2 linked regions of the Callithrix jacchus genome follow. The protein of the gene in region 1 interacts with the protein of each later gene in a biochemical or structural test. Links are inferred from orthologs where the notes say so. Each region holds a gene or a part of one and is shown on either strand. Other genes may lie near its edges.

Region 1 (3,810 bases):
ATTACAGGCATGAACCACTGCGCCCAGTGCGCCCAGCTGGAAGGGAGGTTCTTAAGGCATAGGAAACAATGTATTTGAGTTGGCAAAGGAGGTTGGGGGAGGTTATCCTAAGTATAGTAAGCAGCCATAGTTGGATTTAAGCTTTTAAGAGATTCCCCTCCACCCTGTAGAGACTGGAGCGAGGAAAAGTGGGTCTAGGGATAGGACTGATTAGGAGGTACTGCAGTTGTCAGAGTGAAAGATGATAGGGCTTGAACTAGGCCAGTGGCAGGGGTGCCAGAAAGAAGAGGACCCAGTAGAGCTAACTGGAGGCAGTTAGCCTGGCAGGGATTTAATGATGGAGTGTACCAAGGGCGAGGCTGGCATGCAGGATGACTGGTGGTTTTCTAGCCTGAGAAGGCAGGGTGAAGGGCAGTGGACTTGAGGAAGCTGGAAGGATCAGCAGGGACCTCTTTGTGGACACACTAAGTTTGAGATGCCTTGGACACATTGAAATGGAGCTGTCAGGGAGGCAAGGGTGGAGGTGGGATGAGGAGGAGAGGTGGGACGCGTTGTGGATGGAGTTTTTGCTTGATGGAGGCACATTTTTTCCTGTGGCAATGAAGGGCAAGAGGAGAAGGTGGCCACAGATGCCAGTAGGTGAGCTAAGAGCGATTATTTTCCCTATCCTCTCCGAAGCTTGAGGCAAGGCCATCAACAGACAGTCAAAGGGAATAAGAAGAGATATTTGAATATTTGAAGAAAGGGAGAAAAGAATGAAATCATAATTGTGTAGCAGAGCAAGAAGTCCAGAAATTTTTGTGCTGTGCCAAGTGCCCAGCTGAGGTGGTGAACATGAAAATATACTGATATCCACCACCTGGTTTTTCTCCAAGGACACTTGGCTCCTAGGGCACAAAACAGAGAGTATGTGGTTCGCCCAGGCCTGGGATTTGCATAGGTGCAGTGGATGGAGAGGTCAGGAAGTGGAGGCACACGGTAGAAAGTGACTGTCCCCACAGCATGGGGACTCCTGGCTGGATGAGGGGGACAGGGGCAGGAGGAGACAGGTGGAAAGTGGAGGGAGGGCTCAGTGATCTGGAGGCTACCGGAAGTGACAGAGAGACTAGAAGGAGCTGGGAGCCAGTGTAGTTGTGGCCCAGGGTGGGATGTTTGGATTTCTGATGTCAGAGAGGGTGCAGTCCTACTGATGATGGGGAGGGGCAGAGGCTGAAGCTATGGTAGAGATTGTGAGAGGAACTGGAACAATGTAGCTGTCAAGTAGAAATGGGGGACTGAACGCCGTGGGTTATGCCTGTGATCCCAGCACTTTGGGAGGCTGAGCCAAGAGGATCACGTTAGCTCAGGAGTTCAGGGTTGCAGTGAGCTGCGATTGTGCCACTGCACCCCAGCCTTGGCAACAGAGTGAGATTCTGTCTCTTATAAAAAAGAAGAGGGCTGGGCGTGGTGGCTCAAGCCTGTAATCCCAGCACTTTGGGAGGCCGAGGCAGTGGATCACGAGGTCAACAGATCGAGACCATCCTGGTCAACATGGTGAAACCTCGTCTCTACTAAAAATACAAAAAAAAAAATTAGCTGGGCATGGTGGCGCATGCCTGTAATCCCAGCTACTCAGGAGGCTGAGCCAGGAGAATTGCCTGAACCCAGGAGGCGGAGGTTGCAGTGAGCCGAGATTGCGCCATTGCACTCCAGCTTGGGTAACAAGAGTGAAACTCCATCTCAAAAAAAAAAAAAAAAAAAAAGAAGAAGAAGAAGAGGAAGAAAGAAAAAAGTAAAAAGTGTCCTATTAAATCCCTTTTAAAAATGACACTTAAGGCTGGGCAAAGTGGCTCATGCCTGTAATCCCTGCACTTTGAGAGGCCAAGGCTGGCAGATCACTTGAGGTCAGGAGTACAAGACCAGCCTGGCCAACATGGCAAAACCCTGTCTCTACTGAAAATAGAAAAATTAGCTGGATGTAGTAGCACACGCCTGTAATCCCAGCTACTTTGGAGTCTGAGGCACAAGAATCTCTTGAACCCAGGAAGTGGAGGTTACAGTGAGCTAAGGCCACTGCACACCAGCCTGGATGACAGAGTGAGACTTTGTCTCAAAAAAAAAAGTTACTTAGCTTAGATTGTCTCCACACATACAGGAAGAAGATATAGCAATGAATTGTGCTGCTACAGTTATGTAATCTGGTTAAACCCAGAAACATGATACTTTTCGGTCTTCTGTAGCCTTGGTGCTATTGTTTATCTTTATTAATTATTTTTATCCTCAAAATAGCTGCAATGTGCTGAGTCTCCTAGTGTTTGCTGGGCAGAGGCTGACTGTTGCAGCAAGCTCATTGAGTCCTTACAATTGCATTTTGAGAGAGAGAGAGATTATTATTCCTACTTCACAAGGGAAGAAATTGAGGTTTAGACATATCCAAGGGCCACATGACTGTGAGTGCCTGGAATTGGAGCCTAAATCTAGTCATCTGATGGCAAAGCCTGTTTTCTTATCTTCTTTGCATTAAATACAAGTTTAATATAGAACAATACTGGCTAGGCTTGGTGGCTCAGCACTTTGGGAGGCTGAGGCAGGCAGATCACCTGAGGTCAGGAGTTCGAGATCAGCCTTGCCAACATGGCAAAACCCCATCTCTACTAAAAATACAAAAATTAGCTGGGTGTGGTGGCACATGCCTGTAATTCCAGTTACTTGGGAGGCTGAGGCAGGAGAATCGCTTGAACCCAGGAGGTGGAGGTTGCAGTGAGCCAAGATGGCACCACTGCACTCCAGCCTGAGCGATAGAGCAAGACTGTCTTGGAAAAAAAAAAAAAGTGTGTGTTTATATGGTGGGGAAGGTTGGGTATGAAAAGATGACCAAGAGGAATGAATGTCTTAAGCGAATGGCTGTTTCCTCATCTGCTTTCTCCCCTGCTGGGAGGAGAGACCTGGGTCCCTAGAGGTCTCAGTTACCTCCAGAGCTGAACACCACAGGGATACAGAGGAACAGGGATGTTACCTGTCACTGATGATTCAGAGAGATGATTCAGGGTGTAGTTACCTGAAAGAATGAATTGCCATGCCAGACACCTTGGTTCTTACGACAGAGGCAAAGGTTGCCTCCAGGATTGCCCAAATTGAGACAAGTTCTGGGAACCTCATGAAGAGGACCTTTCAGTGGAACATGGGGAGATTCTCTTCTTCATTGGCTCACAGTGGATTTAGGAAAGCTAAGAACTGGATGATTCCTCGACCTCTTGATTTATTTAATTCTTTTCTGGTTTTTCTTGGCTCTACTCCAGGGGAATACGGAGAGAACGGTCTGGCAATACCACTTTCGGACCTGGCCGGACCACGGAGTGCCCAGCGACCCTGGGGGTGTGCTGGACTTCCTGGAGGAGGTGCACCATAAGCAGGAGAGCATCATGGATGCAGGGCCAGTCGTGGTGCACTGCAGGTGACAGCCCCTGCCGCCCCTCTATGCCACAGCCTGTCCCTGTCTCCTAGCACCAAGGGCTTGCTTTTACCTACCCACCACCCCCCAGCTCTTTAACTGTAGGAAGAATTTAATACCTGTTTGAGGCATAGAGCACCTGCACTGAGGGACATTTAGATCCCAAGGTGTATTTCTTCTAGATCCCACAGCACTGCCATTGGCTGTGGGCATTGCAACATGCTCAGTTAAAACTGCAAGGACTAAGTCAGCATTCTCTCTGAGACCACTAGAAGTTGTGCATTAAACAACTTCATCCTGGCTCTGCAGATTCTCCTCATTCTTTGTGTTGTTTGCTCTGTAGGTGTTGACTGCTGTGTAGATATTGAGGTGGTGGGGGA
Region 2 (4,486 bases), on another chromosome or scaffold:
CGTGGGGACTCCTTCCAGGACTGGGCAGGGTAGGAAGTCGGGAAAGGAGGTCAAACCATCAGAGGGGCCATTCAAGAATGCTTTGGGCTTCCTTGACAAAATGCTCGTCCTTCGTTACCTGGGGCCAGTCCTGGAATTACTTAACTAAATTAAATATTATGAATTAAGGTGCCTAGCACCGAGACTGGTGCCTAAACGGTAACTGGAAAATAGTCTCCCATGAACCCAGAGTGACCTTTGCTCCACACCCAGTTGGGCCTAAGCCTGGAGATCTAGAGATATCCATGAAGGATGGCTCCTGCTTTAAGAACTTAATTCTTCAGTGATTAATGTTTCTAGAGCACTAGCCACAGGCAGGCATTTTCTTTTTTTTTTTTTTTTCTGAGACGGAGTTTTGCTTTTGTTGCCCAGGCTGGAGTGCAATGGCACGATCTCGGCTCACCGCAACCTTTGCCTGCTGGGTTCAAGCGATTTTCCTGCCTCAGTCTCTCAAGCAGCTGGGATTACAGGCATGCATCACCATGCCCAGCTAATTTTTTATTTTTAGTAGAGATGGGGTTTCTCCATGTTGGTCAGGCTGGTCTCAAACTCCGGAACTCAGGTGATGTGCCCAGGCAAGCATTTTCTAGATGCTTTACATTTGTTAATGTCCAATCCTCATGGACATAGTGTGAAGCAGATTCTATCATTCTCTATATCTTGCCTATGAGAAATCAAGGCTCAGAGAGGTTAAACAGTCCCCTGAGGTCACACAACTAGTCTGGGCCTAGAAGAGACTTTTCTCCTACTATTACTCTGTGTTGCTTCACAATATGGTGTACGTTCTGTGGGAGCCCAGAAAGCAAGGCATCTGAGCTACTGGGAAAAAGGGATGAGACAAGTCCCCTGAGGAGTTAGCTGACCAAGGAAGCAGGGAACAGCACTTCAAGCAGAGGGAACAGTACATGCAAAGGTTATAGGCAAGAGACCGTGACCTGCATAAGGAGAGGCTGGGCTAGGCGTGGTGGCTCACGCCTGTAATCCCAGCACTTTGAGAGGCTGAGGCAAGCAGATCACAAGATCAGGAGTTCGAGACCAGCCTGACCAACATGGTAAAACCCTGTCTCTACTAAAAATACAAAAATTAGCCAGGTGGTGTGTGCCTGTAATCCCAACTACTCAGGAGGCTGAGGCAGGAGAATCGCTTGAACCCAGAAGGTGGAGGCTGCAGTGAGCCGAAATCGTGTCACTGCACTCCAACCTCAGTGACAGAGCAAAACTCCATCTCAAAAAAAAAAAAAAATCAAGCAATGCATTAAAAGTATGGAGATGAAATAAGCATTATTAACATTAGGTGACCACATTCTCAACATTCTATGCAAAACAAACAAACAAAAGTGGCTGATGAGCCTTGGGATAAGTGACATTCCAGAGCATTTCAAAAAAAACTGCTTTCTTTGGAAAAAATAGTGTGATTTTGGCAAGAGAAAGAATCTCAAAAGAGAGCTCTGGGGCCTTCAAGGGGCAATTGTTAACGAGGTGAATTGCGTCTGGTGCATCTCTCTCCCTCACAAGGCCTGTTTGTTCTGTGCTAAAAGGGCTAGCAGCACCCGTGCTGTGGGGTGGAGGGCAGAATATAAGAGAATGGAATGGAATACTGTAGCTGGCAGGCGCTGAGAGCTTCACAGCCCTGGGCCCCCGCTGCATCCGCTCAGGCACCCACGCTTTACTGACACCTTGAAAAGGAGCTGGGAATTTGTTTTCAATTTGGCAGAGCCCCTTCCTCTACCTGCAGTCTTCCTCTACCTGCGGTTCTGGAGACTCAGCCTGGAGAGGTGCCAGGCCGCTAACCGACTGCGGCGTTGGGGATGTGTTTTCAGGGCCCGGGGAAGGGGGAAGTCCTATTGCCGCTCCCTCCGGGCCCCCTTCCTGGTGATTTATCGCTATGGAAACCGAGCTCCTTTCCTCTTCGCGCTGCCGGCTGCTGGGAGTGCACATTGTTGATGCTGTTGCCGTTCAGATCAGAAGTTCCTTCCTCTTTCCTGCTGCAGAAATGCCACAGTAACCTACGTGGCCCAAGAACTGCCGCTCACACCTGAAGAGCCCAGGCTTGGGAAAAACAATCTCATCGGATTCCCCAGGGGTCATGGGGGCCTTCTGGGTAAGCAAAGCCGGCCTCAGAACAATGTCGGGGAGAACAATGCGGCGGTGGCTGAGCTGGTGGCCCTGCAGTTCCTCTCCCTTCAGCTTCCCTAGCTGCGGGTTAAACATGGGTTTACAGGCCGGGTGCAGTGGCTGATGCCTGTAATCCCAGAACTTTGGGGGCTGAGCCTGGTGGATCACCTGAGGTCGGGAGTTCCAGAACAGCCTTACCAACATGGAGAAACCCCGCCTATTAAAAATACAAAAATTAGCTGGGCTTGGTGGTGCATGCCTGTAGCCCCAGCTACTCTGGAGGCTGAGGCAAGAGAATAGCTTAAACCCGGGAGTCGGAGGTTGCGGTGAGCCAAGATCGTGCCATGGCACTGCAGCCTGGGTGACAAAAGTGAAACTCCATCTCAAAAAAAAAAAAGGTTTTACAGGCAATCACAGGTAGCATTGCATTAGGCAGCAGAAAACGGAAACTCAGAGTCCCTTAGTGTGAACAAAGTCTCCTGTGACAGCCCACTTGCTGCAGGTGCTCACCCATTGCGCATGCCCACCCATGACATATACCCATCCACTGCATATGCCCACCCATTTAATATGCCTGCCCATTACACATGCCTGTCCTCTGCATATACCCACTCACTGCAGATGCCCACCCATAGATATGTTCACTCACTTATCTACTCACTGCATATACCCACTCACTGCATATGCTCTCCCATCACATATGCTCATTCACTGCTCAAGCCTGGTGAGGCTCTACTGGACTTTTGAGAGCTGGCTCTACTGGACTTGGTCTGGCCCTCAGTAACCATTCCTTAGAGGCCAGTGCCTGGATTAGAGCACCCTGAGCATAGCATCACATATACCTGAGCCAGGGCCTAGACTCAAGGACATAGGGCAAGGGGGGATTCCAGGGACAACAAAGGAAGCTCTCTGGCCAGGAAGTCCTGAGACTCTGCCAGGCCCAGCAGCCCCCTTGCTGGCCACACAGATAAGATACGGCTAATCTCAGGGCCTCAGGGTCATTCTCTGTATGTTGACCTAAGGAATTCTTCTGTAGGTCTCATCTTATGGGGGATGGAAGAGAGGAAGCTAAGAGCACCTCCTACTTGCCCATCTGTCTCTTAGAGGGGTTCATCTAAGAGTAGTTTTCTGGGGAAACTGGCCTTAAAATGACCTGGGAGAATAACATTTCATTTAGGAACTGAGGCTTGTCAATGCATCTCATAATAATGTACAGAAATTCCCTTTACCTCCCTGAATATCCAAGATCTTTTTTTTTTAAATAGAAATGGGGTTTCTCCATGTTGGTCAGGCTGGTCTCGAACTCCCAACCTCAGGTGATCTGCCCACCTCGGCCTCCCAAAGTGCTGGGATTACAGGCTTGAGATACGGTGCCCGGCCCCAAGATCTTTTCTAGGTGCAAAATGTTCCTGTTTGTTTTCCATTTAGAATTTCCCCTTATTTGGAGTATGTTTCCTCCCTCTTATCCTCAGAAAATTTCCAAGTTCCTTCCACATTCTAAATAACATGGAAACGTTCTTTAGAATTAGAGCAATGTGAAAGTCTATGGTTTTGTTTTTGCGGGTTTTTTTTTTTTGAGACTGAGTCTTGCTCTATCACTCAGGCTGGAGTGCAGTGGCACGATCTTGGCTCACTGCAATCTCCATCTCCCGCATTCAAGCAATGCTCCTGCCTCAGCCTCCTGAGTAGCTGGGACCACTGGCGTGTGCCATCACGCCCAGCTAATTTTTGTATTTTTAGTAGAGCCAGGGTTTCACCATGTTGGCCAGGCTGGTCTCAAACTCCTGACCTCAAGTGATCCGCCTGCCTCAGCCTCCCAAAGTGGTGGGATTACAGGTGTGAGCCATAGCACCCAGCCCCAATTTTAAAATATAAATATTTTTATTGAGATAATAGTAAATTTGCATGCATTTATAGTAAATAATACAGAGATATGTACCAATTTCCCAATGGTAACATTTTGCAAAACTACAGTATACCATCACAACCAAATTTTCTGGCTTTTGTTTATTCATTTGTTTTGTTTTTGAGACCAGGTCTCACTCTGTCACTCTGGACGGGGTGCTATGGCCCAATCATGGCTCACTGTAGCCTCCACCTCTGGCTCAAGCAATCCTCCCACCTCAGCCTCCCAAGTAGCTGGGACCACAGGCATGTACCCCATGCCTGGCTAATTTAAAAAAATGTTACGTAGAGATGGGGTCTCACTATGTGTCCCAGGAGGGTCTTGAACTCCTCGGCTCAACTGATCCTCCCGCCTCAGCCTCCCAAAAGTGCTGGGATTACAGGCATAAGCCATAGCACTGACTGCAACTGGTCCATTTTTAAAAAG

What was found.
Region 2: the proteins of PTPN11 (region 1) and PECAM1 form a complex in vitro, tested with the Homo sapiens proteins (4 studies listed by BioGRID, with this or other methods). The link is inferred for Callithrix jacchus from reciprocal best matches to the Homo sapiens genes PTPN11 and PECAM1.

The regions. Positions count from the first base shown.
Region 1 is NC_133510.1:115,443,181-115,446,990, forward strand, and holds part of PTPN11 (tyrosine-protein phosphatase non-receptor type 11), read left to right. Parts: intron 1-3,266; coding exon 3,267-3,433; intron 3,434-3,810. UniProt on the Homo sapiens protein: Acts downstream of various receptor and cytoplasmic protein tyrosine kinases to participate in the signal transduction from the cell surface to the nucleus. Positively regulates MAPK signal transduction pathway. Dephosphorylates GAB1, ARHGAP35 and EGFR.
Region 2 is NC_133506.1:89,659,433-89,663,918, reverse strand, and holds the start of PECAM1 (platelet endothelial cell adhesion molecule), read left to right. Parts: upstream 1-1,644; 5' UTR 1,645-2,140; intron 2,141-4,486. UniProt on the Homo sapiens protein: Cell adhesion molecule which is required for leukocyte transendothelial migration (TEM) under most inflammatory conditions.